4 linked regions of the Schizosaccharomyces pombe genome follow. Changing the gene in region 1 together with any one later gene gives a genetic interaction. Each region holds a gene or a part of one and is shown in the gene's direction. Other genes may lie near its edges. The genes, in order: elp4, san1, ubp3 and SPOM_SPBC15C4.06C.

Region 1 (7,266 bases):
TGAAAACCTACGGATGTCTAGCAATAAAGTTAGGATTTTACTGAAATTCGAGTCGACAACTAAAACATAATATTTTTGTAGCATCGCTTTGAATGATTGAGCATGTAAATATTTAGATATAATTGAAAGCATAGAAATTATCATAAATGATTTTCTTTAGATGCTGAAAGTAATAGCGTTTTTTCTATACCAGTTTAGTGTTCGCGTCATCCATAAATACCGAAGTAAAATCAAGCTTAATATAAGCGAGATTTACGAAGGTTGGACTAAAGATTAGTTTCTCGTAGAAATGGTCATGAACTTTTGAAAGGTCTCTTAAACATAAAATAGTTTTTTAAAAAACTTTCTATATTACTTTTTACCAAATCCAATTACTGCTTTCATCAGTACTCCTTTTTTTTTAAAATGGAAGCGTTTTGACATATTTCGTTCATGATACGCTCAACTATTAGGAACATAGTAAATTATACTACAAATTCACTATCTATACAATGATAAGTATCGTTGAACGTTACATATTGGAAATCAACAGTCAAGCATTGTTTACTGATCACCGAGGAAGAATTTCATGATTATCCTCAGATGTACTCAGTCAAGAATATGATATTAAAATTATTCTCAATATTTAGCTTTAATTAAATATAAGCTATTTAATAAACCAATTTATATGTAAATACCATTCAAATCACCTACATAAATATCTATAGGAACATATCTGTAGATCAGTATCCAAAACGCCGTATAATGTCAGCTACGCAGTTTGGTATCTGCTTTAACGATACGAAAAACTGGTGAATTTTGCATATGATCCATTATATTATAATAGCCGGGTTATATAAGTAATGACTAAGTACTGGTATTGTACTATTTAGGTTATAATGTCACCTATCACTTATAACTGAACTGCGAAATGAGGTTTAGTTGTATCTCTATCGATTCTATCCAAATAATCTATCTGTTAATATAGTATTATCAATATCAATCTCGACATCGCATCATCTACGTTGCGTATCACTATATGTCACATGTTCTAATTATATATCGTACCATGTATGATACGATATTGAGATTGATCTTAATGATAATCTATTAAGATCTATATTATCTGAATAATATAAATAGAGCTACTGCTGAACCTCGTTCCTCAGTTCAGTTATGAGCTATATTAGTGATAGGTAACATTATAACTCAGTTAATACAATACCTATACTCAGTTGCTACTTATACAACCTGTGTATTGTAATATAATAGATCACAAGGAAAACTCACCGCAGTTCTACGTATCCTTAAATCAGATACCAAATTGCGTAGCTTACAATTTAATACAAAAAGGCATTGCCCGTTATTTGATTTTGTTGGATATCCTTAAAGTATGGAAAAGATGTTGCTACTAAGCAAGAGCGTCTAGCATCTGCGAATATGGTGGAATCGGATTCTTCGGGAATCGTTCGACATTCTCAAGGAGAATTTGACATCGTCCAGGTTTACAAAAAATTTTTGCAAGATGATCCAGAAATCACGATGCCTGTAGCCGCCATTGAGGCTTTAGTCCAGCTTTTGTCGCGCTCTCAAGGTATGTTAATTTGTAGTACTCATGTGAGAAATGAATTTACTGATGTTTTTCTATTAGCCAAGACAATTTCAGAATTTATGGACATTTTACAAAATGGCTCAAATACGCTGAAGGAAGGCGTTCAAAACAACATTTCGCTTTCAGCTGGTTGTGACATTTTCCAACGGTTTGTCACTCGATCACTACACGATGTCGGGGTATGTGTTGATGCAAAGTAGTTTTCTTTTCTTTACTAATTCTCCACGGCTTTAGGATTTTGAGCAATGCAAACGTCACTTGGTAGAAAATGGAAAACTCTTTATTCAGCGTGCTCGTGCTTGTCGACAAAGAATTGCACATTTAGGTTACCCTCTTATTCGAGATGGTAGTGTTATTCTTACCCATGGGTTTTCACGCGGTGTTGCGGCTGTTCTTTTGGCTGCTGCCAAGCGTCACGTTCGTTTCAAAGTTTTTGTCACAGAATCAAGACCTAGCGGCTCAGGCTGTCTAATGACGAGAACATTAAAAAATGCTTGTATTCCTACTTGCATGGTTTTGGATTCCGCTGTAAGCTTTACTATGAACCGTGTAGATTTGGTCTTGGTTGGCGCAGAAGGTGTTGTCGAAAACGGAGGACTCATTAATCAAATCGGTACTTTCCAACTTGCCGTTTTTGCCAAACATGCACATAAGCCCTTTTACGCAGTTGCAGAAAGGTACGTAAACGTTGAATCCATTCAGCTTACAATTATTTTTCCCTATGATCTCTCCATTTCCCTGTTAATTTTAAAATTTGTACTAACGTTTTTTAGTCATAAATTCGTGCGTATGTTTCCCCTTTCTCAATATGATATTCCCTTTAGTCGTCCTATTCTGGAATTTGATGATCCATCTCCTGAAACTGTTCATCCTGAACCTGAACCAATTCCAACTCCATCAGATGCTATTCATAACGAGCTGATCATGAATGAAGAACAAATTCGAAATAATCCTACTTTGGATGTTACACCACCCGAATTTGTCTCAGGTCTCATTACCGATTTAGGGATCATTGATTCGAAGAGTGGGGTAAGCGAAGAGCTAATTAAATTGTATCTTTAGCAATCAGATTCTCCTGATCTTAAAAATAAAATATGAATAGATTGTACTTTGAGTTGACTTAAATTTCTCATAAGTCTTGTCCAACTAGATTCGGATTGAAAGTAATCTTCAAAAATACAACAGTAATACATTTTCCGATCATGCTAATTGACTGTACGACGTAACATTTTCTATGTTATTTTGTAGTATTACAATATTATTTTTGTTTCAATGCGCCCACTAGTGAAATTTTATTATTAGTTCAACAAAATTTATCTAAAAGGTATTTTTATTGAATGATTAACTTTAGTCAACAATTTTTTATTTTCTCAATCGCAACGCTGAATTTCTTTGTTTTCTGACTGATGATGCTTAAATGTGTGCTGCAAATTTGCGTCGCGTTAACCTTTCCATCCAATTTGCTATTCCACGTACACCAATCGAAATAAGTATTGATGTCGTTCAAAAGGAAAGCAGCACCTCAAATAGCACCAACAAACTTGCCGACAGGCGTTAGACTATCTTCAAAGGATGCTAGATGGATTACAAGCTCTGGGAGTTCTTCTTTTGACTACTATTTGTCTGGCGGCATTCCAATGAAAAGTTTGCTGGTTATAGAGGAAGATTCGATGGATTATGCTTCTGTGCTACTTAAATTTTTTGCAGCGGAAGGCCTTAAACAGGACCATGTTATTTGGCTTGGTCCATCTATTGGAGAGATGTGGTTTCGTCAACTTCCAGGCGACAGCGACCGGCCTAATAAAAACGAAAATTCAGCTGGAGAGGATAATCATTCTTCTCCTCCCTCTAAAAATCCCCAGCAAGAAAGAATGAAAATTGCCTGGAGGTATGAACAAGTCTCCAAAACCAAGGCACCGACCCTTGATATGATTCCTCCTGGCTATACTCACTCCTTTGATTTGTCAAAGAATTTGATAGTGAAAAGCGATATGAAATACGCTGTTTCTCCATTCCCTTTGGAAACAGGGTCTAATCCTTACGCCCCTGTCATTGAAAGTCTAACGAGATTCTTATCTACTCTGACTCCAGGTACGGTATGCAGGTTAGTTCTTCCATCCATTTTGTCCCCAGCCTTCTATTCTATCCGTGCTACTCATCCGCAGCATTTCATAAGATTTATTCACACACTTTCATCGCTCATCAAATGCACTACTTCGGTGCACTTGATATGTATGTGTTCAGTTCCTTCTACTTTGTTTTCAAGAGATTGCGAGCAAATTTTTTGGCTAGAAAACCTTGCATCCGCCGTATTCTCTTTGCATCCTTTCCCGGTCAAAGAAACTGTTAACGGTTTAGTTACACAACCATTAGGACTTTTCCGTATCCATAAGCTTCCCTTAGCACTTCCATTTACCAATCATGCAAACTCTAATGAAGCTGGAGACCTCTCATTTACTGTATCGAAAAGAAGATTTACCATTGAACCATGGGTCCTTCCTCCACTGGATGATGAGCAAAAGGATACGAAGATTTCAAACACGAATCCTCAAAAACAGCCTGTTAAATCTTTGGATTTTTAGACAATTAAAAAACCTCTAAGTTTCTGAGTATTGAATTGGATTAAAATTCTACTCGTTTTCGTGTTATGTGATATGGTTATGGTTTGTAAATGGATTTTATAATTTTTTTTGGATGCATTGCATTTGTGTTATTTATTGTTCATACGAGTTTAAATATTTTTCATTTCTCCCGTCTAGATAACTGATCAATTATCTAAATGTTCGTCAAATGGGATAAACGTTCTCTCAATCAAAACTTTAAAACACAAGTTAATATAGAATGCGAACTGAAAGCCGTCAAATATCTCTACGAAGAACCGTTACTGTGATCTTAAAGCAAAGTGCATGAAATACTTGTAAGTAAATGACATTTTAAATCTTAAACAGTGTTAAACCGTTGAAATTTGAAGGATACAATTATTTTCTCTATTAAAACAGTTCTGAAGTAAATTGTTGATGATTGTTATCAAAACATTGTCAATCTGTTGGTACTAACAGTATTTGACATCTAAGCAAATTAAAGAGACAAATCAAAAAGTTTTCGCGTATTCGATTTTTCTCTTTAATTCTAGTCGCATTATCTTTTAAGTCAAGTGACCAAAATTAATGTGATTATTCCAATAGTCCGTATGAATGGGTCCTTAAATTCGTCTCAATTTACTTTTTTTGCATTTTGACAGAGTTCACTATATAGTGATTTACCACCTAAAAATGTGCTACCTATACATTCGCTAGTTGTTAAACATTGAGTTGAATGTTCATAATCCACTACAAACGTTCATTCAATGTTTCAATTAAGTTAAATAGAGGTTCATTGATAAGACAGATACATATATTTAACTGAATTTTATTGATGTATATCTTGGGAACATATGCCATATTGAAATTGTTCACATCGCCATAGTGCGCTTTCAACCATCAACAAACAAAAGGCAAATTGGGCTGGTTTGATGAAAATATCCATCTTCAGAGTCGAAGTTATTTAATATCCAGTCTTATAGACAAAGAGACATTTTGTTAAGAAAAATAAGTGCAGGTGGCTAAAAATGGTTCGAAAGTATGGAATTTTCATCGACGCTGGATCTAGTGGTTCAAGACTTCTAATTTATTCTTGGGACTATGATACCGATTCCTCTTTAAGTGATAAAGTAAAAAAATTACCATTAATCGAGACAGGGATTGGGGATGGTGGTAAATGGTCTTTAAAGGTTCAACCTGGAATTTCTTCCTTTGCCAATAACCCTAAGCATGTAGGGAAGAAGCATTTGAAAGAACTCCTGGATTTTGCTGCTCATGCTATTCCCAAAGATGTACATAAAGAAACTCCGGTTTTCCTAAGTGCTACAGCTGGTATGCGTTTACTGGGCGTTGATGCCCAAAACAAAATACTTTCGCATGCTTGTAGATATATTAAAAAGAATTACGATTTCGACATACCTAATTGCTCAAATTCAATCCGTGTAATTGATGGCAAAGCTGAAGGTATGTATGGTTGGCTAGCTACGAACTATCTCCTTAAGACACTTGAAGAAAAAGATACGTCAACGGTTGGTTTTTTAGATATGGGCGGTGCGAGTGTGCAAATTGCTTTTGAACTTCCCCCATCTCAGCTCAAAAATTACAAGGATAGTATTTCGACCGTTCACATAGGACTACAAAATGGTCAGCAATTGGAATATCCTTTGTTTGTTACTACCTGGCTCGGTTTTGGCGCTAATGAAGCTTACCGCAGGTATTTGGGACTGTTAATAGAAAGCGAAAACGGAAAAGTTGGCAACACTTTAAGCGATCCGTGTTCCTTGCGTGGACGAACTTATGATATCGATGGGATCGAATTTGCCGGTACTGGAGATTTGAAACAATGCTTGAAACTGACTTACAATCTATTAAATAAAGACAAGCCATGCTCCATGGACCCTTGTAACTTTGATGGAATATCTATTCCTCCTGTTGATTTTGCAAATACTGAATTTGTTGGGGTCTCGGAATTTTGGTATACGACTAATGATGTGTTTGATATGGGCGGTAGCTATCATTTCCCTAATTTTTACAAAAAAGTTGACGAGTATTGTGGTACAGAGTGGGAAACCATGCTTTCCCGTCTTTATAATAAAGAGCTGACTCCAAGTACTGATGAAAACAAGCTTGAAAAGCTTTGTTTTAAAGCATCATGGGCGTTGAATGTCCTTCATGAAGGATTCGACGTTCCCAAGTCAAATACAAGTAGTAATGATGCAAAGGATGGGCTCTCGGTAATTCCTGCGTACCATTCTCCATTCACGAGTTTAGAAAAAATAGAACGCACCGAAGTGAGCTGGACCTTAGGCCAAGTATTGCTTTATGCATCAAATCAGCAACTTCTAGCAAAACCGGAATATGCTAATTATTATATGGACCCATACGGAAAGCTAATCGCATCCCCTTCAAAACATTGGATGAGGTTATTTCCTAATAAATTGTTCTTTATTCTTTCATTTATTTTCTGCTTATTCTTTCTGTTCTCTTTGGTTTTGTTCGGGTATGATCCGAAAAGGCGCCAACGTTTCAAAAAATTCCTTCTGCGCTTGCAACGTCGCAAGGCTCCGTACATTATGTCTGCAAATGGAAGTTATGAGGATATAGCAGATTTTTCTGATGATTTAGAAATGAGCAGTCCCTCTAAGTGGCATGGACCCCCGATACGTACCACTTCAAGCCATGTTCTCGCAGACAGACTTTCGTTTACTGCTAGTCGAGAGAGAACGCCTAGATCCCCTTTTCCTTAATATTCTTTACCCGTAATTTTAGGGATGGACAGCTTTCTGCTGCACTTATATGTTTCTTTTAGCTTTTTTGTCATTTTTTCGTTCGTTCTTAAAGAGAAAGCTGTGAATTTCAGTTGCTTCTCTATTTCACTTTCAGTACTTCTTTCATTCATAATACACCTAATTAACCAAACCATATTAATCACTCGTCTCAACATTATGTAGGCGTGCCAGTCCTTTGTTTACTCGTATGAATATTTTTATCAAGTCAGCAAAAACTCCTAAATGTCCATTTTACACTTGCGATATTTGAGTCATATCTCTTCTAACCGCTTGTGGCAGTTAGCATAATAATCATCATCGATTTTAT
Region 2 (8,752 bases), on another chromosome or scaffold:
TCAGCACACCACCCAACATTGCAGCCTGCAGTTCATAAACATCGCCAGTTGTCTTCTCATAGCTGTAAATTGTTCCTAGGAAGTTTCAAACTTAAAAAGTTTGTTTGTTCATATTTAAAATCCAATTTATACCCCTAAATATAAAAAAACTACAGAGTTCAACCTAAATTAAATAGGTTCGAATTCTGACAACCAGTGTTCACAAACATGTATGATGATATTTTCTTTTATTTAGCTTTATGGGTTATACAAAGCGTTTATGGTGCCTGGGATTGGGCAAAAAATTGGGTTTTTTGGACATGCAGTTATTTACTGAATTTTTTGTATCATCACCATTGTAGTAGAGATCTTATAAGACGCGATACGAAAAAATTAAAGAAGAAACCAAAACACATCGCCGTTATTATTGAGTGTGTAGAAGATGGAGGTATAGAGGGCCTTATTCATGATGCTTGTGAATTATCTGCTTGGTGTGTTTGTTCTAATATTCGCGAACTTACGATTTATGAACGTAAAGGTATATAATTGCAGTTGAAGTTTTGAAATTCCATTACTATTTGATTACATTTATTAACAGATTTTAGGGTTTTTAAAGCAATCTCCCGAAGCTGTTGAAAAAGCTATTTACTCTCACCTGCCATTCTATCTTGGAGGTGACAAGTGTACCGTCCATGTAACTAATCCTTGCTCTCCTGATGAAAAAAATCAAAATGACTGTGTCGATTTAAAGGTTCATCTTATAGCGAAAGAAGATGGTCGAGATGCTATCATCGATTTAACTAGAGGTTTAGCGGATTTATGTACTAAAAAAGTTATCAGTAGCACCCAAGTTACACTGGAATTGATTGATAAAGAATTGAAGGAGAGCGTAATACCTGAACCAGACTTACTAATCATATTTGCTCCTCTGCTTAAGTTGCAAGGATTTCCACCTTGGCAGCTTAGATTATGTGAAATATTTCATGATCCTATTTTATATACAACAAATTACCTAACATTCTTTAAAGCACTTGTTCATTACTCGAATGCAGAAATGCGGTTAGGGCACTGAGGTTTTATAAATTTAAATATGAAAAGCCAAAAGCTACCAAAAATTTATCAAGTTGTCTTCTTGAGGTTTTTGTTACTTCTTGTCTAAAATGCTTTTTGGATTTTGTTAATAAAATTAGGAATTCAGTATTACAGAAAAATTTAATTTACTTCAAATGCTTAGATGATAGGCATTAACAAAATTAAACAGACAGGCAGTCAGATTCATACTTTGGATATTATATGCATTACAGTTTTAAAAAAATTTAATAAACATTTTCGTTAGAAGAATATTATAAAACTTAAATTAACAACTAAACATTCACTTTCGAATACGATCTTTTAGAAAACCAGGCTTGCTACACAATAAGAATCTTCGTTAAGGTTCCTTATTCGCATACTGTCAAACCCCTGCTGAGATGTTCACCTCTTTGGATCGAAACCTTTACGTTGATAACCATATCACGTTGACGAAAATGGACTATCAAAATACGGAGACAATTGCCGAGCAGGAAAGGAATGCTAGTAGGCTACCGCAGATGTTTCAAATGTCTTCGCATCCTGTAGCTCTTTTCTTCTTTCTTTTATTTCGTACCGGTGCAATTGTGGCATACATATTGGGCATGTTCTTTACCTCAAGTTTGTAAGTTTTTAATAGCAGAAATTTAAAAGAAAAAGAAATTGAGCTAAACAAATAAAAATAGTATGTTGTTGTTTATTGTAATTTTCACTTTGCTAGCTGTTGATCTTTGGACTGTTAAAAACGTCTCTGGTCGTTTACTAGTTGGTTTGAGATGGAGAAATGAAACTGGAGTTGATGGTGAAAGCATTTGGATTTTCGAATCGGCAGATCCCAGTCGTCCCAGAAACGCCGTTGATCAGAAGACGTTTTGGTACGCTCTCTATCTATATCCATTTATTTGGATCATATTGGGGATTGTAGCTATAATTCGATTTGAATTTCTCTGGCTTGCACTCGTTGCTGTCGCAATTGGACTGACAAGTGTTAACACCGCTGCTTACAGTCGTTGTGACAAAGACGCGAAGCGTCGTTGGGCTACAGAACTTGCAGATTCCAATTCTTCTGGATTTGTTTCCAGATTTTTATCTAGGGCTTTTATCAAGAGATTTATTGGTTAAAGCTCTTTCAAATTCTGTAAATAATTTTTCGAACTACATTGCATTTTAAGCTCATTGTATATGAAAAAGCTAATTTCATGGGATTCTGGCTTAACGATTTGCTTGTTAATTAAATTGACGAAAGCGCTGGAACGATATTGTGTTTTTACTTCCCAACTTTGAAATGACAGAGCGTCAATTTGAATCCTTAAGCATCAACTGATTACGTATTTTTATAATACAAAAGCCAAAAGACTGTATGACGGATCCTGTATTTTAGTATGAGTTTATATAACCTCCCATACTGTTACTTTCAAGCATATATCTTCTTTTCTGATTGAATATTTGAATAGAGCCCAATGGTTATTTTTAGGTGCACATTACGTTCTTTTATTCATACATTCTTTTATGGTTAATACTATCACACAAAGTTTCATGAAGGCCAACTGAGATCTTTTGAAACCCACTACATTTATTTTTCCATTGATAACATTCTTAGTTAGACTTCAAATATTTACGCATGGAGTGCTTAATAAGATACCGATGAACGAAACTTCAAAGTTTGGTGCTACTTTTTATTTCGACAACTATGTTCCTGCGTGTGTTTGCTGTGAACTTAAAATTTAATACTTTCTTATTAGTGATGAACATATATTGAAACGAAGTTCTTATAACAGCATAATAAAAGCGGAAAGAATATGTAATTGTTAGTTTCTAATATACATATTTTAAATGGCAAAATATGTATTTAGATGATTCCTTTACTAAAGAGCATATCATTTTTTTAGTACATATATAAAGCATTAGCTTAAATGTCAATTATAAATTCAAGGATATGCGGTTTCTTACACGATTCGCAGAATTTCGGTTTTCATATGCTTTATGTCAACAAACCTCCCAACTATCAAATAAGGAGAACCTTTTATAACTCCTTAAAAATATTAAGGTATTGAATGTCCTAATGAACGCCCACATGTTCACTGTCTCTATTGGCAATATATAATGGAAGTCCCTGGTTTTCTATTTTGTTCAACACCACATTTTGCACCTTAAAAGATAGTTTAAGTGGAAAGGTGCACTTTATAACATTCTATAACGTCTTTTATTTTCTATTTACTTTTTTTTTTGCTTGCCTAAATAAATATTGAAATATTCAGTGGCCAGAAAACCCCGATGGAGAATGTTACATTTTCCTTACCATTAAATTTTTGATTCCTGTTTTTTTATTACCGCAGCAATCATATTTTACCATATTCCTCCTTTGTATATAATAAGTCTCCTACAAATATTTCCTTTGTCTTATTTGTTGTTTTTATTTTGAGTACTGCTTTATTTATTTAGATTCGACTTTATTGTGGTCGTTTTATTTCTTTTTTTTGGTTTTATTATTAGACCACTGAGGTACTAGTTTTTTGTATAGAATCTCCTGTTACAATTATCTGTTTTAAATGGATTCCAATACAAATGAGAATAATTCTCATGCATCATCAAACGAGAGACAATCATCTGAAGGGCATGATGACTATTTGAATCGTAATCCAAACAGTGAAGCAACTGAGGGTGAAGAAGGTACCCACCCTACCACGGGGACTCAACCAGTTGCTTTTTCAATTGGTACAATGTTTATCATAACTCCTCAAGCCAATTTCGAGGGTGGAGAAAATGATCCGTTTGCCAATCCCTTTCAACCACCCGTAAAACGCGCTGTAAAAGAAGCCTGGGATTCTTTCGAACCTTTGTCTAATGACCAACTGATGGATTTGACTTGTCCGATCTGTTACGATGATATGAATGAAAATGATGAAAAGCAGGCTACCAAGATGCCATGTGGCCACATATTCGGTAAAAATTGTTTACAAAAATGGCTTGAAAATCATTGTACATGTCCTCTTTGTAGAAAAGAGGTTCCCCACGAAACAGTAGGTTCAGCTCATCCTCCTATTTTATTTATCATTCCACACTCACATACGCTTCGTGGCAACCAAGGCAACACCGCGGTTTCTCAAGAAAATGCATCAAATGGTGTTCATTCCGACTTTCATCCATCTGAGGAGCTTAACAATGCAAACACTGATGGTCGAACCGGCGTAGACGAACCAGCTCGGCAACTGCATCGCATTGCTTTTAACCGAATACGTTTTATTCTAGCTCCAAATCGATCTGCCACCAATACCCCTGTTGAAAATACTCACCCTGAAAACCCTGACTCAAACACCTCAACACCTACTACTCGTAGTGAGCCCTTAGCAGGAGAAGGTGCCTCTATTGATGCCGAAAATGCTAGCTCTAGACAAGAGACTACTCCTTCGGATTCTCGTCCTTCGACGCTTACGTCCTTATTTAATGCTTTCTTTTCATCTATGCCTGATCGCCCTTCCTCTAATGAACCTATGACTTCGAATCTTACCTCTAATTCTGGTAGTATGACGAATAGTACTTCCACAGACTTGCCAACTAGTAACTTGCCCTCTCAAAATGCTCCAGCTAGACCAGTTGAGCCGTCACCTTCAATACAGCCTCCCAATTTGCTAAATCTTCCAACGGCTTCGCCTGAATCAACTTCATGGCTTCCTGGAAGCCAAACAAATATCCCTGCAAATACGAATCGATCTGAAAGGCCTTTTACACAGTTAATGACGTTCCATGGTCTTCCTTCATTAGCCGATTTACCAGCTGTTCTTGAGTCTATGTTCCGTCCTAGCGGTAATAATAACCTGCTTAATTTAAATGGAATTTTCCATCCCGATCACAATGCGCAGACTGAAAACGGTCAAACGTTGCCAGAGAATACTGACGACACCAACAGCAACGCTACGTCCGCAGTTCCCAATCTACAGAATTTAAATCAGCAAAATGCTGTAACTATGGGTACAAATACACCAAATAATGGTTCCTCCCCTGCTGTTCATCCAGTAATTCATATATACTTGTCGAGACCGCCTTTACAACCTGCAGTTAGCGAACAGGAAACTCCTTCTGAAGCGGTTTCAAGGGAAGGTACTAGAAGTACAGATGCTACGATGGAAGATTCAAGTAGACCTCCAAGCAATGGCTCTTTCCAAGGTCCTGGTATTACCCATCTCAGTGAAATGGGGCAGCGCATTTTGCAAAGGTTTCAGGAAGAAATGGAGAATCGAATGAATCAAACTAGAAGTGAATCGAGCACCCCTGCTCAGCAATCAGCTGCTGGAAGCAGCATTAATGTTGACACTGCCGGGCGACAACCTTCCGATGAGATAAATATTCCTGGCGAATACGAAAACTCGAGTGAAGTTGCAGGATCACGAAATCAAACTCCTACCCATTCTTCCATTGCTGTAGACACCTTGAGTAATGTTGCGGTAGACCAGCCTGCGATATCCACTCCGTCGGACGTTGTTGGTAGTGATGCCGGTGATACTAGCAAGGTTTCGTCGGGAACTAGCACTCCTCGAATGGCTGCTCCGATTGCTAGACGATCAAATCGGCATCATCCGTATAGCAGACCTAGCTCAACGCGTCCTCAGTGTCAGCTTGAGGATCAAGGCATTTGTGATCCTAATGATAGATTTGTGCACTTCGAATGCGGTCATTCAGTACATGAAAGATGCCAGCAATCTACTAGCAACTCCGAAAATCAAATGGACGAAGAAATTGGAGAATGCCCAAAATGTCGTAATGAAGAGCATAAGTAATGTTTGTGTTTTTTTACTCTTTTGTTATCTTTATCATGAAAAATATAGTTGTTTGTTTATTATGCCTTTTTAAATCTTCAATACAAATTTGGTGATGTCCCTTTAGAGTATCAATATTTCATGCTATATAGATTTTTATTGTTTTTGTATTATTTATATCTCAATACTTATCATCTATATTATTTGCTCTCCTATAAACTAAATGATTATTTGACTATTACAAAAAATCTCATTATTTTTTTCAACGTTCATTAATAGTTTTGTTTGGTACCAAGGAATTTATTATTATAAGATTAAATGACTCAATGAGTTAAAGAATTAAAATATGAAAGATAGCGGATGTTGTAAAGGTCTCCTAAATTCTAAAATGCCACCCAACATGGGATCGTCTACACCAATAAATAAACTGTCGCCAGAAGATGAGTAAGCGGTTCCGGCGATTTCTCCAAAAAAGTCAATAACTTGGGATGTATTAAATAATTTAGTATCAAAAAGTTGAACAAAATCGGCTTGTTCCGTGACAGCTAAGCTTTCACCTAATGGAGAAAAGCACAAATTCGTCACAGCACTCATTTGGCTACCTAGATTTCGAAACGACTTACCAAGGGCACGTATGTCCCAAACTTTAGCCGTTGTATCTTGTCCTCCAGTAGCCAAAATATTTCCATTTGGATGCCACGAACCAGTAAGTACAGAGTCGGAATGGGGAAGTTTGGCTGAAACGGAATTTGATCTAATATCTATTAACATGGCGTCTTTCGAATCCGTGCATACAAGCGCTAATGGAGTTTCATCAAAAAGTTGGACGCAGTTAACAGCATTTGAACACCTGTAAACAAGAATGGGGCTAGTACGCTGGACATCTTCCACATAAACAGCACCATCATTACAGCCAAGGATGAATTTTTTTTCGGAAAAAAGTTGAATATGATTAATCGAATCATCTGAAAGCTTACGAGTACTAAAACTTCCGTTTTTAAAATTGAAAATACAATATTGTCCATACAATGTTCCCAGACATCCTACGGCATTTGTAGTATCCAAACATGATATCGCTTTTTTCTGAAGGATATTATTCTTAAGGTCAATGATTTGAACAGAATTATCATGCAATGTGTTTTCCATTCTGATGCTGTTATTGCTCACATAAATGACAGAATGCTCACCAACCACCTTTACGCTTTTGCAAAGATGGTGATGATTCCGCAAGCAATTAGGATTTTTCAAAAATCTTTGAAATTCATAAAACGAGTCTTCAGCGGCGACTTGTACAGTATCTAGCGATAGCTCTTCGGGTGACCAGTCTGAATGATTGCAAGACAGGCTATAAGTGTGTAATCGATAAAGACGAAAGTTTTTCCGTTTACCAATTGCTTTATTTCCCCAGGGAATTCCTTGAAAATCCACTGTCCCACAATTATCGGTGCTTTTTGGGTTCAATTCAAAATTTGATGCAGTGGGGAATCCATAGTGGTCTAACTGAATTAAATTCCGGTTTCCTGTATACCAAGAAGTGTAAAAATAATCATCTAGATAATCTTGAAGTATAGCTCCACTTTCAGCTAGTTTTAGCATTAGCTTTCAGAGCAACCAACGGACTGCACGTTTAATTTACTTACGAAGCAAATACTGGTCTATAAATTCTCCATTGGACATATAGAAATATTTAATTTAAAATAAATATTATCTGTATGGCTGTAGAACAAAAAGGAAATCAAATAAAAAATTAGAGAAGGACAAGATCGCCTCATGGAAGAAATGAGAGAAGGACAATCGACGTTGCAAGGACCAATTGACTCTTTCGCTAACGATTTTCGGCAATTAATCTTAAAGATTTTATACGTATGAACCTAAGTGAAAACAAAATAAGCATAAAGAGGTCTTTAGCTCAAAGGTATAAAATTATCATAAACAGAGGCGTAACCAAAATTGCAAAGCCAATTTCGTTTGTCAATGGACGAAAACCTCCAATTGATCTTTCTAAGTTTTAAAAATCACCAATGTTGATCGTTTTGAATTTAAACAAATATACATACTTAAAGAGGTACGGCCAAAACATTAACCATTATGCTGAAGCATCACTGAAAAGAAAAGCTCGCTAATTATTTTGGATTTATTTAAGGTTTTTTGAAGAGAATGAAATCCTTCAGAATATAGAGAACGAAGTTGATTCACGAAGCCGAAGGTGGACGTCTCCATTGAGTAATATGTACGAGAAACACTTGCAATCTAAATCTACATTGCAACTCTATCAATTTCCAAAACGATCCTGATTTAGGGTAGATGTCTTGGTTTGCTATCGGCTGGGCTCGTTTCTCTATAGGATTTTACTTTTCTGGTTTTACCATTCTATATAAAATTAAGACTAGGATGTTAACAGACTTAATTTAATCCATACGATTAGTCTTTAAGTAATGTTACCTCAAATTAAAAGCATTCCATTCAAAATTTATATTATTGTTGCTTATTGTAAAACTAACACCCAAGAATTCGCATTTAAATTGGTCCCTTTTGGAAAAAGGATAAATAGTTTTTCATAAATCAAAAGCTTTTTGAAGCAATTACAAAGATTGCCCTCCCACAGGTCGGTAATCGTAATTTGAAATTACAGAAGAACGTTTTACTATAACCTTTTTAAATATATAAAAAAAAGCAAATAAAGTAATTCTAATAAACAATATTATGCCTACGAGCACACTAGACGAAAACAGCAGTTTCTGTCCGACCACTGTATTTGAGGTCGAAGGGTTTTACGTTAGTTCGGTACTACAGAGCTTCTTTTCCTATTAATTTCCTATCTCATAGTGACAACTATAATTTTCACTGTACTTTGTGGATTTGAAGGTTCATTGTCATCAATATTTGTCAAATCACGTTTATAGCCAACACAACACCATTAGTATCAAAAGTGGGATTTTGCAAAGCGAACA
Region 3 (7,681 bases), on another chromosome or scaffold:
AGCGTGTACAATTTGGTTTAAAAAATTTTGATTTGGTTTTCATCTTTCAAGACTTCCGCCGCCCTCCGATTCATATCAATACAATTCCAATGGAGCAATTAGATAATGTAAAGGAATGGCTCGATTCATGCGATATATGCTTCTATGAAGGTCCTCTTAATTTGAACTGGACCACGATTATGAAAACTGTCAACGAGGACCCCATTGCATTCTTTGAAGAAGGAGGATGGGGATTTTTGGGAGCTCCGAGTGATGATGAAGGAGATGATAGTGTCGAAGAGGTTTCTGAGTATGAAGCTTCTGATGCCGACCCTTCTGATGAAGAGGAAGAAGAATCTGAGGAGTACAGCGAAGATGCTAGTGAAGAGGATGGTTACAGTGAAAGCGAAGTGGAGGATGAAGAAAGTGGTGAAGATTGGGATGAATTGGAGCGTAAAGCACGTCAAGAAGATGCTAAGCACGATGCTTTTGAAGAAAGACCATCTAAAAAGAGACACCGGTAAACTCACAAATTTACTTCACTTTCTTATTATTTATATGTAGTTTATTCTAAAAATTCCAGAATACTTTATAATAAAATATTCCACTGAATTGAGATTTGACAACCAGATGGATTGATACAAAAATATAAAGACCGGCTCTTTACGACAACCTATTAATATAATTGTTGTAGTAACACGCGAATCAATGTTCAGTTACCTTTTATTGTGTAATCCCAACCTAACCAAAATTATTCTAATCCTTTTTTTTTGCAACCTTATAACCTTTAGACTTCAACCATTTGCGACGATTCTGCTCGATAATCTCCTTATCGGCTTCATCATTGAAAGTAATATTATCAATTTCAGTAGAATTCTTTTCAATTTCAACATCATTATTTGTTCCATCCTTCATATCATCAGCCACATTTACAGTAGGGATTTTATCAGAAATCTTTTTCAGTTTGGCAACGAAAAAACCGTCTATATTGTGAACATGAGGATAATAACGTCTAGTTAACTTTAGACTTGGATGAAATCTTTTTTCACGAAAACGGGTAAACCCTTCACGTCCAAATTCAAGTCCAGTGGACACTAGCTTAACATTAGGGCGCTTCTTTAAAGCATATTGAATAACTGCTTCATCTTCGTCAACAGTAATACTGCAAGTAGAATACACGATAAAACCACCGGTTTTGCTGTCAGCATTGACAGAATCAATAGCGCTTAGAAGCAATTGCCTTTGTAAATGGCTAAGAGTATCAAAATCCCTTTCAGATTTGTTAGTTTTAACAGACTGATCTTTATATATAACACCAGTACCCGAACATGGGGCGTCAAGGAGAACACGGTCAAAACCGCCAATTACTTCGTTGGGAAACTTGCGGCCATCGTAATTACATACAATAGCATTACGTACACCTAAACGATGAATGTTAGCGGAAAGAGCCTTTGTTCGAGCTTTGTTAGAATCATTTGCAAAGATAATTCCAGTATTCTTTTGTAATGCAGCAACATAAGTGACTTTACCACCAGGTGCTGAGGACATGTCAAGGATACGTTCATTTGGTTGAGGCGCAAGGGCCATTACAGGCAAGAAGGAAGATGCAGCTTGCAGGATGTAATGACCAGCTAAATATTCGGGTGTCGCACCGATTGGAACCTGGGATTCGAATACTTGGAGACCTACTTTGGACCATTTACCAATTGGTTCCAAATTGACACCACGATTAATTAATGCTTGGGCTAATTCTCGTCGCTGGGTTTTTAAAGTATTGGTACGAATTGTGACAGGACGAGGCATTTCATTTGCCTCAAAAAACTCAACAGCCTCAGAAACTGAAAATAATTCAAATAACTTCTCAGCAAGAAAGCGAGAATAACCGTAATACGCACATATATCATTTAAGAGTTGATCAACATATTCAGAACGATTGCGTCCAGGTTCACACAAATTTTTAAAATCATTCAAAACACGGACTATTTCCTGTATCCGCAATTGAATTTGGCTCAAATCCTGTGGAAGAGTAGATATTGGTTGGCTATCGGTAAAACCATCAATAGGTGGAAGAACAGTAGGAGCCTCAGGATGTATGTTGGTATGCAATTCTTCCTCGGCTTCTTTTTCCTCTAATTCCGCTTCCTCATCAAGTTTGCGAGACATGGCTTCCATATTCGCAAGTTCCAAATCCTCTTCATCTCCAGAATCATCGCTAAACATAGGCTTAACCTCATGCTCTTCATCCGAATCAAAAACAGAATCTTCTTCCTCCCCTTCACATTCTTTAGCCTCATCATCGATAAACTCGTCAGCAAATGTTTGGGGTTCCTCGTCATGTTCCAAGTCTGATAAAGTTTCAGCCTCTTCAAATTCGTCTGCATCAATAAGATCTTTTTCATTCTCAGAATCCGAATTTTCAAACAAAGATTTCTTTTCTTCTGCTAATTGGCGTTTCCGAGAATTTTGTGGTTTTTCTTTTGAATGCTTTCTCTTTTTTGCATTTTCTGTCACTTTATGAGAAGAATTATGATTTTCCTCTAAAGTTGGGGGAATTCCTTGCTTAGACTTCTGTTTTCTTCCCATCTTTTATGGAAAATATGTGATGAAGTCCAAAAACGTTTATTTGGGCTGAGGAAAAATTTTGGCACTGGCATTCTTTCAGTCCAACCTCCACTATTCACATCGCTGAGTTTTGTTAAAAACTTTTACGAAAGATAAAGAACATTAAATTTTTTCAAGCAATACTACACTACGCTATGACATACTATGTTGCGTATCACTATATGCCATATGTTTAAATACTTAAGATCCGTTTATTGATACACGAGGATAAACTATCCGTCTATCTACATAGATGCAACGTTGATAGCAACTTATAGAAATATTATTAATAGAGCTACAGTTGAACTGAGGAACGAGGTACAGTTCCTAGCTGTATCGATGATCGATACTAATAGCTTCCTATAAACATTGTCAGTTAAAAATATACTGCATCCCGCTATATTGTAGATCGCAAGAGAAAATTGCCGCAGTTCTATGTATCGTTAAACAGATATTCAAACTGCATTGCTGAAACACAAAAAGATATACCGCATAGCAACAGCATAGTTAACATTATTAAAAATTCACGACTATTGTTATATTTATCTTTTTTAAAATTTGCTACGTACTTTACTGCTCAGCTTACTTAAAAAAGTCACTTAATTTACTCGTTCATCTTACTTCACCTCCTTGACAATTAATCATTTCAATTATGATCACATTAAGACTTGGTTAACGATTGAATTTGCTGCGGCGTAAAATGAGTGACAATATATATTCAAGACCTATATATAGTTCACACAACAGCAGAATATCGAATTTTAAAATTTACTATTTACTTTTCTCTTTTCGTATCACTTTTGTGGTTTAAGATACATATAGTGGTACTTAGATATGTAAATATACCGTATTCTCTAAAAATAACTAAAGATGGGCATGGACATTCAATAATTAATAATAAAAAAGAACAACTAAAAATAATTAGGAATTTGAGTTAGGCGGTCAAGTGTTTACAGTGGAATATCACCATAATACACTTGGTGGAATACGAAGAATTAACGAGGTATAGTGTATATTAAAAAAAGTTTTGGACAGTCTTTTGAAGAGCAAAGCGAACGACAGCCAACCATCAAATTAGTAAACAAGAGTTCAATCTTGCTAGAGTGTGCGTATTTCCATGCGAGATTTGACCTCTGCAACGGACAGCGCGTCTTTGGAAAGTGATTCGTCACGAAATCAATTTATTATCAATTCACTGGTATGTTTTATTAAAATTGTGATTATACTAACGTTTAGCTACCATGGTACTCATGCTCTGAACATGAATTTCCTCATCGAAAGGCTAGAAAAAGGCGTTCGCCTAAGAATTTAGATTGGTCGGTTTCGGTGCAAATGCCTCTGGTCACATCAAAGACGAAAGAGTCTGAAAAATCGCCTAAATCGTGGTCTGCAATTGCGAAAAAGCATGTTCAAGGAGACTCTCCTGTTAAAAAATCACATTCTGTTCCGGTACCGTCTGACAGGTCTGAGAAAAAAAGTTTCAATTCATCCCTTGGTGAATTGATCGAAACATATTCTCCATCCCTCGATGCACCCCGTCCTATACAGCCTCGGGGTTTTATAAATACCGGAAATATATGTTTTATGAACTCTATTTTACAGGCACTAATGTATTGTGTTCCATTTTATAATTTACTTAAGCAAATTAACCGGATGGTTCCGTATAATTTTGAACGTACAACACCTCTTATTGAATCGTTGACAATGCTTTCTAGGGATTTTAGAGAATATTCTGAGAAATTTGATTTACAAGGAGATTCTATTTTGCCAGAAGTGGTATATTCAGCTACTAAGGGGAATCCTCGATTTGAAATGTTGCAGACCGGCGAACAGGAGGATGCTGAGGAGTTTTTGAATTTGTTTCTTGACGAATTACATGAAGAATTCGTGCGTGAACGTAGACATTATTTATTAAAAAATGACGAAAGAAATCCAAAATCTGATATCAAAATTTCAAATGGTATCAAGTCTGGTTTAGATAGTTTTGATGATCAATCTTCTGTAGAAGCTAGTGGCTGGACCGAAGTTGGTAAAAATAAAAAGCCAGTAATTGCTAGATCTGCTACTGTTGAAAGGTCTCCTATAAGCCAAATTTTTGGTGGTCAGCTGCGCTCTACCTTAAGGGTTCCGAGTGCAAGAGATTCTGTTTTGTTAGAACCGTTTCAACCTCTGCAACTCGACATTCAAGCAGAAGATATACATTCAGTTATCGATGCGTTGGAGCATATGACCGCCCCTGAAATTTTACCGGAATGGCATTCGTCGAAAGGAAATGTTACTGCTACCAAGCAAATGTATATAGAGTCACTTCCTCCTGTCTTGATTCTTCACCTTAAACGATTCTTTTACGAAGCATCTGGCGGTACACAGAAAAATTATAAGCCTATTGCTTATCCTGCTCGCTTGAGTATTCCACAAAACGTTTTCAGCCCTTCTGTTCGTGGTTCCATACATCCGGAATATGATTTGAATGCAGTGGTTTATCATCACGGTACTTCTGCGTCTGGTGGTCATTATACTGTCGATGTTCAGCAACTTGATAAAAGCGGCTGGTTTCGGATTGATGATACACACATTCACCGCGTACCTATTCATGATGTTGAAAACTCCGAACTTTCCGCTGATCCGAGTCTTAGTAAACTTGGTCACGGCGATCGTGTGGCATACTTACTGTTTTACACACGACGCTCCTAGGTCATCTGGATTCCTTCCTCCCAAAAAAAATTAACCAATAAAAACCTTAATTGTTTTGTGTATTCTTCAATAAACAACTCAAGGATTTGAGCTAAAACTGGGGACTACACTTTTTTATAATTCTTTTTGTTTAAAACGTCGGTTAGAAAATTTTATCATATCTTTTTTACATAATTTTCTCAAAAAGGTTCAGCAATTTTTTATTATTTTTTATTTTATGAACTTTAGCTATTTAAGATTACGTTCCCTCTCAATCCCTTTAAACTAATCGGCTTTATAATACAACCTTTCTAGGAACTTACTCCGAATATACAAGTGAATTTTCATTGCAGCTTTAATGCAGTATATATTTTAAAACAGTACCAAAAGTAGGGTCAAGTGGTTTTTATTTTGCTGTCCTATTAGTAGTAGGTCAAGTCCAGCTTCATAATGTAATATTTGAAGTACTATGGCATCAAGTTTGTCACTTTAAAGCCCATTTCTATAATTTTCATGCAAGCTAAACTCCTTGTTTTAAATAAAAAGATTTGATCGTTTGAGAATCTTGATTCAGCGCATTCTAAAGTACGAATATAAATTACAGTTTTTTTGTTGCATTTATTAAACATTTGGCCCCCACTTGCATACCCCAATTATATCTCTGCGCAGTTAAGCCTATTGTCAACACCACTACCAAATTCTTTTTCCTAATACCTGGCGCGTTGAAATAGGCACTCCTTACTTTTATTAATTAATCATGACATTTTTCAGTGCACTGGGTATGATGAATTTCGTCAAAGTAAAGCTAATCATTAGGTGATATGGCCCATTTGGCTGCTATTTTCTTGCTTTTGCACCGAATGAAAAAATCGAAAACCTGTTCAGGACTATCTCTCAAATCCCATCTTTTGTTTCTGCTTGTTTATGTTACACGTTATTTGAGTATGTGCTGAACTTTTCGAAAAATACTTTCTTTGCTAACTCTTTTTTTTAACAGATCTCTTTTGGAGATACAAAAGCTTGTATTATTTCTTGATGAGGATAGTTTTTATAGCTTCCGAATCCTATATATGCTACTTGATGTTAATGACTTTGCGACCTACATATGACAAACGTCTTGATACTTTTCGAACTGAATATATCTTAGGTGGTTGTGCAGTTCTGGCTCTCATTTATCCAACCAGTTATACCATTAGTAACATCCTATGGACTTTTAGTATTTGGTTAGAAAGTGTTGCAATTCTCCCTCAATTGTTTATGTTACAACGATCTGGTGAAACAGAGAGCCTGACTGCCCATTACTTATTTGCAATGTGCTTATATAGAGGACTATATATTCCTCATTGGATTTATCGTATTGCAGTTCACAAGAAAGTCATCGGTGTTGCAATTCTTGCGGGCATTATCCAAACCGTTTTGTATGGTGATTTTGCAGTCGTATATCGCCGAACAGTTCTACAGGGAAAAAAGTTCCGATTACCTGCTTAGTTATGATTTTTATTGATGAAAAAAGAAGGAATCTTTATTGTTTTTTTTCTATTTGCATTACCTTTTTCTCGATGCAATAAGTTTCTGATTGCATTTTTAGCAACGCCGTCAAAGGACTATGTTCATGAATGAATTAATGAACTAAATGGGCTTTTTTGTATTTGTATGCAAAAAAATTATAACTTAACTTATCCGTAATACATATGCTCGATGGATGACACGATCTGTTCTTTCTTTCATTAAAATTAAGACTTTAGTACATTATTAGAAAATTAATTTAGGATTTACTGATGATCAGAAACCAAAAAAAAGAATTTTCAATTCATATACGATACAGAAACATTAAGCAATATTTAAACAAAATTAACTGTTTGGGTATTTAAAATGGTAATTGAATGTAATATATGGAAAAGGAAAATATGAGCAGCCTCATTCCAAGCTAAATTGTTGAATTACTGTACATCATTAAAAAAAAAATAGAATAAATTTGTAGATTATCATAACCGCCAATTCACGGAAATTTATATTAATAATCGGTGCTATAATTTTATAATAATTGAGGACTCCTCTATTATTTGCGTATTGCGAATGTTCGGAAGTGTTTGATAGACTACAGGTAAAATAGTATATACTTGAAATCTATCAAGTTCTGACATGATATCTCCTTAAGTTTAAAGAGAATCTAGTAAATGCGTAAATTAAAACACTTGAAGTAAATTAGTCAAGCAAAAAATTGAATTTTAAATAAATTCATTGTTCCTGAAATCAAAATAAGGATTTAAAAACAATATTAAATGTTTGTAAAAATATAGTATAGAAATTGGTATATATAGATTTTCCAAACTGCTATTTGCAAAATGTTTTTGTTTACAGATATTAAGTTTATAATTTCTAAACATATAGCCATTACAAATTGATTACATGCTTATTTAATAACAAA
Region 4 (8,061 bases), on another chromosome or scaffold:
CTGTAATAGATGCAGAAAATGCCGATCAACTTTCCAGCCGTGGTCGTCTCGAACTTTTCGACTTGGGTCGTCAGCTATACCAGCGTTACTATAAACTTTTTGATTCATACGTTTACGACATAAATACGGCTGAACAGGAACGTGTTGTTGAATCTGCAAAATGGTTTACTTATGGATTATTTGGTGATAAAATGTACGAAAAAACCAATTTTATCCTTATTTCTGAAGGTAAGGCAGCAGGTGCCAACTCCTTATCCATGTACAACGCATGTCCCGTGTTTAAAGATAATAACTTTCATAAAAATGCAACTGATGCTGCCCATGCTGTATGGCGCAATATTTTTATTGAGCCCATTGTGAATCGTTTGGCTAAATATTTTGACAGCAGTTATAAACTTACGATCAATGACGTTCGTAGTCTCTTTTATATCTGCGAATATGAAATTGCTATAAAAGATCACAGTGATTTTTGTTCCATATTTACCCCATCAGAATTTTTGAACTTTGAATATGACTCAGATCTCGATCAGGCATATGGAGGTGGTCCTGTTTCCGAATGGGCTTCAACCTTAGGTGGGGCCTATATAAATAATCTTGCAGACTCACTTCGTAATGTGACTAATCCCGACTTCGATCGTAAAGTATTTTTAGCATTTACTCATGATTCTAATATCATTCCTGTGGAAGCTGCTTTGGGATTCTTTCCTGACATTACTCCGCAAAATCCTTTGCCGACTGATAAAAACATTTATACATACTCCCAGAAAACTTCTTCATTCGTTCCCTTCGCTGGAAATTTAATTACTGAGTTGTTCTTTTGTTCTGACAGCAAATATTATGTACGGCATCTCGTCAACCAGCAAGTTTATCCCCTTATCGATTGTGGGTATGGACCTAGTGGAACTTCTGATGGACTTTGCGAGTTACAGGCTTATTTGAATTCACCGATTCGGGCAAATTCTACCTCTAATGGTATTTCCATTTTCAACACAGAATGTCAAGCGCGTCCTACCAACGTTACCATTTACTTTTGAACTATCAGCGCTATAATGTTTAAATAAACAGAATGGATCCTTTGAATAGGATAAACTATAATTTATTATAATCAATTTATTTAATTTTGGGTAATATTAGACTTAATTAAAAGAGGAATACCAAGTACTTTCCTTCCTACAATCAAAACAAGATGTTTGCTTGTAGGAACTGATAATCTTCCTTTGCCAGATGAAGGCAGTGATTTTTCTTGAGAAGTCTGTATTTGTTTAAGGTTTCAAGCATTACATTATTTGAAAGAGTACTGGTAACTGTAATTATATTAATTTTTACTTTATATACAATGCATATTATAATTAGAAGCATGTTAGGTTCTGACATACTATGAGGCAGCTGTCGACCGCGTAATTGACACTTTCAGAAGTGCTTTTCAAAATGCAGATAGTAGCATAACGAAGAAAACATTTACTACATCAATGTTGAATGAGAGTATCAGTGTAAAACAAATTCAGCAAGTGATAGCGAGAAAATAGTAACTATGATACATATGATAAATTTTATAAAATATAAAGATAAATAATCCCTCATATGAAAACTACTGCTGAAATGGATCGATATGAGAAAATGTTTTGAAATTATGATCATCAACAATGCCACGCCAAACCGAATGTGCTATCTTCAAAATACATAATAATTTCAAAAAAGTGTAAAAGGTTAGAATTAACAACAATTAGTAAACAAAAATTTTATAGGAAAATGAGATTTCAGAAACAAAGTTCCACTAATGCATTAAGTAAGGGTCTCACACAAGTGGCCTTAGTGGGATAAAAAGTCTTTAACGGAAGAAATCGGGCCTTTTCAAATTAATTCCATATTCATTAAGAGCGGCACTTAAGTCATCTACAGTGAGCACGGTTTTTCCACGGTCACCTCTTCTTCCGCTAGATCCAATCCCGGAAGCGCCTCCGGCTCCAAAATTCTGCGCACCAAACGTAGTTGAAGATGCATTGCTACTACCGGTTCGGATTTTAGAATATTGATAGGCGTCTTGAGCAACATCAGAAATAAATTTTTGAGCTGTAAGACCAAGAAGCTTTTTTAAGCGTGGGTCAACACATTTAAATCCAGATAAACTGAGGTAATAATCCAATAACACATCTGGAATTAAGGGAGAGTAATCATCCATTTGGGCCAAGAAATTTTCAAGTGTTTTGTCTTTGGCCATATCTCGCAATTCTAAATGCGGTTCTATAACATAATTCGAGCCATGCCTTTCTCTAGAATCATCGCTTTTGGGAGAATCCTCGTTATTTAAATGTGCAGGGGATTCTACACTCATTGGGGCGAGATTGTCACCAGTTGGCAGATTTGTGGAAGACGTTTCGGGTTGTTCATCAACACTCATCGAATTATTTCCATCTTCTGGTTCTTGCTTGGGCTGTTCAATATTTTCAGCTGGCTCATTATTGTTAATGTCACTCATTCTTTCTTTATTTGACCGATGTTGTAAAGCAAAGAATGTCTTTCTGCAACTTGATTCAAATCCGTGGTTCCTTGATTTATCGTTCGACTTATTGGAAATAATAGGAAATTTATTTCCCTAGCTTATGGACTTAACTTTTAATACTTTAATCCAGTGTTTCAAGAAACCACTAGGCCAACTAAAATAGGGATGGTGGAGGTGGACTATATTCTGTATTCGTGGTAAAGTAGCATTGTTATTTACGTATATAAGGGCTAAGATCGAAAAGTAAATAATTCCAATTCTTGGAATAATGCTAGTTGAATAATAGAAATTAATATATAAGATTAATTAACTTCTGGTAAAAAGTGTTGTTTAAAATCGGTATTATATAGAGTTCGGAGCGAAGTTGGTATCTACTACAATTTTTGCTTCTATAAGCAAATGTTCAGTTTAGAGTTGAATGGCAGCCTTCTTGGACTTGAACATATGTATTCAAAAGTAATTATTATTCTCAAACTACAATGTTATTCATTTGCTGAGATGAGCATTTTAAAGTTTGCGCAAACATGACTTCCAGTTAATATGTGTTTAAAACAAATAAAAAAATTTACTACGCAAAGAAAGGATATTTGAGATTAATTTGGTGCACATTTTTTATTTCTCATAACAAACTACATAATCCATTTCCCCATACTTTACCAATAATGTATTGCTAAGCCAGATCAAAGCTACATTAGATATCACTACTAATTATTGTTATTTTCATTTCAAAACTGTCGGATCCATACTACTGATCTTTAATGATCAGGACGAGTAAAACATCTTTAGGAAAATACAATTATTGAAGAAATATCTCAACCGAACAAACTACCCTTTCCTAGTTCAGTTGTAAGTTAATACAGTAAAATATAAAATTATATAGTATATTATATCTTAGCCTTCTTAAACAAATATGTAACCGCTGTACTAAACGAACTCCATAAAATTATACTAAATTACGAGGTAGCATATCACAATAATTATATCCTTATACTAGTTTACAAAGTATACTCAAACAACATTAAATCCTATAACGTATTCCTAGTAAATTGCTTCTTATGTTTAAGGAGGATATCTTATTGTTTAATTGATCGCTAAGCGATCCTTTTTTTATTTATTTATTATAGTTCTCTCTGATCATTAATTCTCCAGCTATGCTTACCTTTTTGAAGTATCACTTCTTCGTTTTTTTATTTCTTATAATTACCATTTATTATTATTTAGTTTCTCACACCTGTTTAAAGCGCTTGTCGAATCACCAAACACAAATAAGCTGTTTTATTTCACGATTGTTTTTCTCGCCCTGCACTTTATGCTTTGTTTGTTTCATAGTTTTTCCTTCATTAAAAAACTTCTTCACTGAAGTATACTGCTCATAGTGAAAATATAATAACAATTGCTTTCCACATGTATATCACATGTATTGTGTACTATGTACGCAATATGTCTCAAGATGTTCATTACTTAGCCACCACCAATTTGTGGTTTTCAAGCTTGAGCTAGTATAAGTTAAAAGAATCACACTTTTTACTTTCTAATTTTTTGAAATTTCCTTTAAAAAATTTCATTAATTGTGTTCCACAATTCCTGCTTTAGAGATATCACCACTCAACGTCTGTTTATTGATTGAAAGCTTACCTTTCAATTACCATTAAATTTGATTCATTATTTAGAAAGATTGGTATCAAAGCAGGTTTGTTTTTTGGTAATCTTGAAACCTCCTGTTTCCTAGTTCTTTGTGTTTCTTCGTGCCTTAAAGTTTGTTTAGGTTCTTATGCATCTGTGTAATAACCAGTTGCTTGATCATCTGGATTGCAATGCAGTTTACAGAGGCTATGTTTCACAAGAGAATAAGGTAAAGAGGAGAAAGCGGCTGTTTAATGCAATTCGTAAACTATGGAATGAAAGAAGGCGATATCGAATGCCAAAGGACGAAAGTATCTCGCCAACTCCAATCTCTTATTCATTTAGATCATTAAGAAGAGGCCATACTAGTGGGCATGCTAGTGAACACACTTCTTCTTCAAGATCTAGTCATGATGAATCAGATTCTATGTCCAGTTCTAGTGAATCAGACTCGGATTCTGTTTCCAGTGAATCAAATCCCAAATCTTATTCAGATTCTAGTACTAGTTCTGCAAGGTCGTCCTCTACTTCTGGTTCAATCTCCTTGTATGATGATTATTACCCTGCTTATTCCAGCAATGCTCCAAATACTGCAATATCTAATTATGTTAGCTCTGGTCTTTCATATTACGGAAATTCATCTATTATTATGAATGCTGTCGAATACAATCAGTTCTTTCCGCTAACCATAACTACTCTTATTGTTAAAAACAACAAGAATGTTGTTTCAAATCTTCCAAAAAATGTCTCATTTTACTTCCACTCTGACAACACGGTCCTTTTGAATGAGTATTACAAAAGCTTGTCTAAACTGAAGAATAATTTTCGTGGAATTATATATAAAACTACTCCTTATGGTAGCTGCAATGACACCGAGTCACTTCAAGTTGATACCAAGGGAAGCGTATGGTTTAGAGATGTTTCTAATATGGGAAGTTCTGGCTTAATCGCATTCGCGCCGTTTGACTATTGTGCTCCAATGCATGTATTGCAGGCTGTCCAGGATAGAGCAAAGGCAATACTATTTTATAATGCAAGCACTGCTAGTAATTCATTAACCAATTTTGACCACTTTGAAGATGCTGTAGATATGATTACCTTTGAAACATTACCAATGGCACTCATATCTTACGAAAACGGCATCGCTTTTGAAAAGATTCTCAACGAATACTCGGCTTCTTCTTTAAATTCGGTGCAGGATGGTGGAGCATTAGTCGAATATTTTGGAAACATTGATGCTACGGCCCGTTTGGGCGTTATCATCAGCAAGGAACCAAAGCTACTTGGCCTCTATATATTCATTGGTGTGTTATTGGGTTTAATCGGTGTCATAGGCCTTTTTATTTGCCTTCACTTTTCTGGTGCAATGAATGGATTTTATAGACTCTTAAATCGTCATGGAATTCCTGTTCAAGAAAGAATTGTGAATATTGGACCAAACAAACCAGAAAATCGTGTTACTAAAGAAATGCTCGATACTTTGCCCGTTAGAATGTTTTCGGGGCCTCATCTTGCCAATCCTAATGATGAGTTGGTTTATGAAAAGGATTGGAAATTAGACAAATCAGAAAGTTTTGATGGACAGGGAAATGTGGTTACTACAGCCGAAAGAGGGAGTAAGTATTTCGATCAGAGGGAGTGTACTATTTGCTTGTGTGAGTATTCAGAAGAAAGTCCTCTTTATCGAGAACTGCCATGCCATCACATCTTTCATCCGGCTTGCATTGATCCTTATTTATTAAAAAATTCGGATCTTTGTCCCCTATGTAAACAGTCAGTTACAAACATGTTGGAAAATGCTTCCGAGGACAATGTTTAAACTGCATATTTATGAATTTTCTCCATTGGTTGAGTAATTCCTGTACTTCTACTCATAAGGATAATTTTTTTTATAATCTATATTAGCATATTTTGTTCGACTCTCATTCATTTACGTTATAATATTTTGCTTGTCTTTATACGCATACGCATACTCATACTTATTGTTCAGTTCTTCCTACGACGAAGAAAACTTACGCTTCCTTAAGTTCATAATTTTCTTGCATCTTTTAATGGGCTAATTATCTATTTCTCATCGTTCTAATCTATTATTTGTGTTATCGTATGAATTCTATAGTACTATATAAAAGCTTACTATACATGTCATTGTTTACTATAAAAAGTTTAATACACATGTTGCTTGCTAGTTTATGATGAAGGTACAAAAAAACTATTAAGTATTTTACAAATTAGCCGGTCTAATGCTAAATTGCATATGTAAATATTTTTTTCTTTTCATTTAGAGACCTATTTTGATATTCTAAGAAAACGATATACAGTTATAATAATTGACATTTTTGGATTTGAGAAAATTAAATACTCTGAATTGTGTCTCATAAAATAGAAAAGCCATCAGTTTCTGCAATGAAGCCTTAGATAACTCCATTTTACACATTTATGCTCAACCAACATAATTCTTACATTTTCCAAATGGAAAGAAAATTTGCCTGTCATTAAGCAGATATGTGAAAACCAACTTTCTGATATTTCATTTTTGATACTTTCATTAATCTTTGAGACGTTTCTGAAATTTGGTTCCGTAATTTAACCGTGAAACTATGTTAACAATAACCTCAAGATGGGAATTCAATAAGCGTTTATCAGGTTCAGCAAAAAATTCGTTTAGAGAAGTTTCAATAAAGCGACGTAAAATACTTAAAGATGCCGAAACGTAAACATTTTCAAAATATACTGTAAAGTTGTCAAGCTTTGCTTGTCCAACTGATACTCTATTTTCGACTTTAAGGCCGCACATCATTAGAAGCTGGCGAAGAGTAACCATAGTAGTTTCATTAACATACTCACTAGCTCGAGTGGAAGACATCATGTTCGTGTAAGCAACGAATTTGGACGGCATGTTAGGTAACTCAGACCTATTATTCACCGATACATCTAAAATTCTAACACGCTTGTTGGTACTCAAGGTTGACCACTGTCTTTTTTCGTAATCATACCTTAAAATGTTTGGATACAGAGATGCAGCAATTACGCCACACAGAATTTCTGCATTTCCTGAGTTAATATCATGCTCTTTGGGGATAACGGCAAAACGCCGGCATATTGAACGTTTTAGGCTTTTGCAAGTATCAACATCCGAAGCGCCTAAAAGTTTCATATCCTTCAACTCAGAAAGCAGTTGGATTTTTAGTGATTCTGTCATACTTAAAGCCTCTAAATTTAAGTACTTTTCTTTGGCAAAAGAATCTTCATCAGGGCCTAAAGGTGAAAGGCAAATCTCTCGCCAAGCGCAGTAAGCATAATACATCAAAACTAAATCACTCCTGGTATTCTCCTTAGCGAATGATAATCGGGCTTTGTTTGCAGAAAATTCATTGTCAACAGATTTCCTAAAAGGTGAACCGATTGTTAACATGGCTACTATTGAAGAAGCGGCATCTACACATTTGTAGAAGCATCCCAAAACCAAGATTTTTCCTAAATTTGCATCAACAGGTAATTGCGACAAAAATTTGCCGAGTTTTGTTAATTTTTCGTTTTCAGAGAGCGCTCCCACTTGATGAAGCTTTTCTAAAGCACGAATAATATTGGTAGAGGAAGGTGGATCTAACGCCTTGCCTAAGACATCTTGTACATCACCCATTTGGCACATCTTTACTCGCAAAACAACTTCTTGCAGATTAAGTCTCAGAATTTCAGGTGTCTGGTAAGACAAAAATTGGGTATCATGTTTGAATTTTGAGAACAAATGATAGCAGATACCTTCCTGAACACGACCAGCACGTCCACTACGTTGCTTGGCATTGGCCTTAGATACAAATGTATCAGTTAACCGAGAAAGATGTCTTCTACTATTATAACGCATTTCCCTATGTACTCCTGTATCAATCACACAAGTGACATCTGGAATAGTAACACCAGTTTCAGCGATATTTGTCGAC

What was found.
Region 2: mutations in elp4 (region 1) and san1 together harm fitness less than expected from each alone (positive genetic interaction), as found in Schizosaccharomyces pombe (one large-scale study listed by BioGRID).
Region 3: mutations in elp4 (region 1) and ubp3 together harm fitness less than expected from each alone (positive genetic interaction), as found in Schizosaccharomyces pombe (one large-scale study listed by BioGRID).
Region 4: mutations in elp4 (region 1) and SPOM_SPBC15C4.06C together harm fitness more than expected from each alone (negative genetic interaction), as found in Schizosaccharomyces pombe (one large-scale study listed by BioGRID).

The regions. Positions count from the first base shown.
Region 1 is NC_003421.2:1,460,160-1,467,425, reverse strand, and holds elp4 (elongator complex subunit Elp4), read left to right. Parts: upstream 1-3,035; 5' UTR 3,036-3,087; coding exon 3,088-4,173; 3' UTR 4,174-4,440; downstream 4,441-7,266. Other genes in the region: translation initiation factor eIF2B alpha subunit Gcn3, read left to right, coding at 1,420-1,573, 1,631-1,770, 1,826-2,268, 2,365-2,653; nucleoside diphosphatase Ynd1, read left to right, coding at 5,199-6,917. UniProt on the Schizosaccharomyces pombe protein: Component of the elongator complex, a multiprotein complex which is required for multiple tRNA modifications, including mcm5U (5-methoxycarbonylmethyl uridine), mcm5s2U (5-methoxycarbonylmethyl-2-thiouridine), and ncm5U (5-carbamoylmethyl uridine).
Region 2 is NC_003423.3:2,949,886-2,958,637, reverse strand, and holds san1 (RING finger protein), read left to right. Parts: upstream 1-3,179; 5' UTR 3,180-3,596; coding exon 3,597-5,822; 3' UTR 5,823-6,043; downstream 6,044-8,752. Other genes in the region: nus1 (ditrans,polycis-decaprenylcistransferase), read left to right, coding at 208-517, 585-1,051; putative transport protein Tvp23, read left to right, coding at 1,506-1,672, 1,734-2,169; SPOM_SPBC2A9.03 (WD repeat-containing protein), read right to left, coding at 6,141-7,384, 7,442-7,478.
Region 3 is NC_003423.3:3,674,016-3,681,696, forward strand, and holds ubp3 (ubiquitin hydrolase Ubp3), read left to right. Parts: upstream 1-3,633; 5' UTR 3,634-3,697; coding exon 3,698-3,778; intron 3,779-3,816; coding exon 3,817-5,274; 3' UTR 5,275-5,646; downstream 5,647-7,681. Other genes in the region: histone H2A-H2B chaperone, FACT complex subunit Spt16, read left to right, coding at 1-503; RNA methyltransferase Nop2, read right to left, coding at 736-2,562; erd2 (HDEL receptor), read left to right, coding at 6,011-6,032, 6,070-6,195, 6,251-6,741.
Region 4 is NC_003423.3:2,249,617-2,257,677, reverse strand, and holds SPOM_SPBC15C4.06C (ubiquitin-protein ligase E3), read left to right. Parts: upstream 1-3,967; 5' UTR 3,968-4,271; coding exon 4,272-5,942; 3' UTR 5,943-6,267; downstream 6,268-8,061. Other genes in the region: SPOM_SPBC21H7.03C (multiple inositol polyphosphate phosphatase), read left to right, coding at 1-1,034; SAGA complex/transcription factor TFIID complex subunit Taf10, read right to left, coding at 1,829-2,476; dhx29 (ATP-dependent RNA/DNA helicase), read right to left, coding at 6,669-8,061.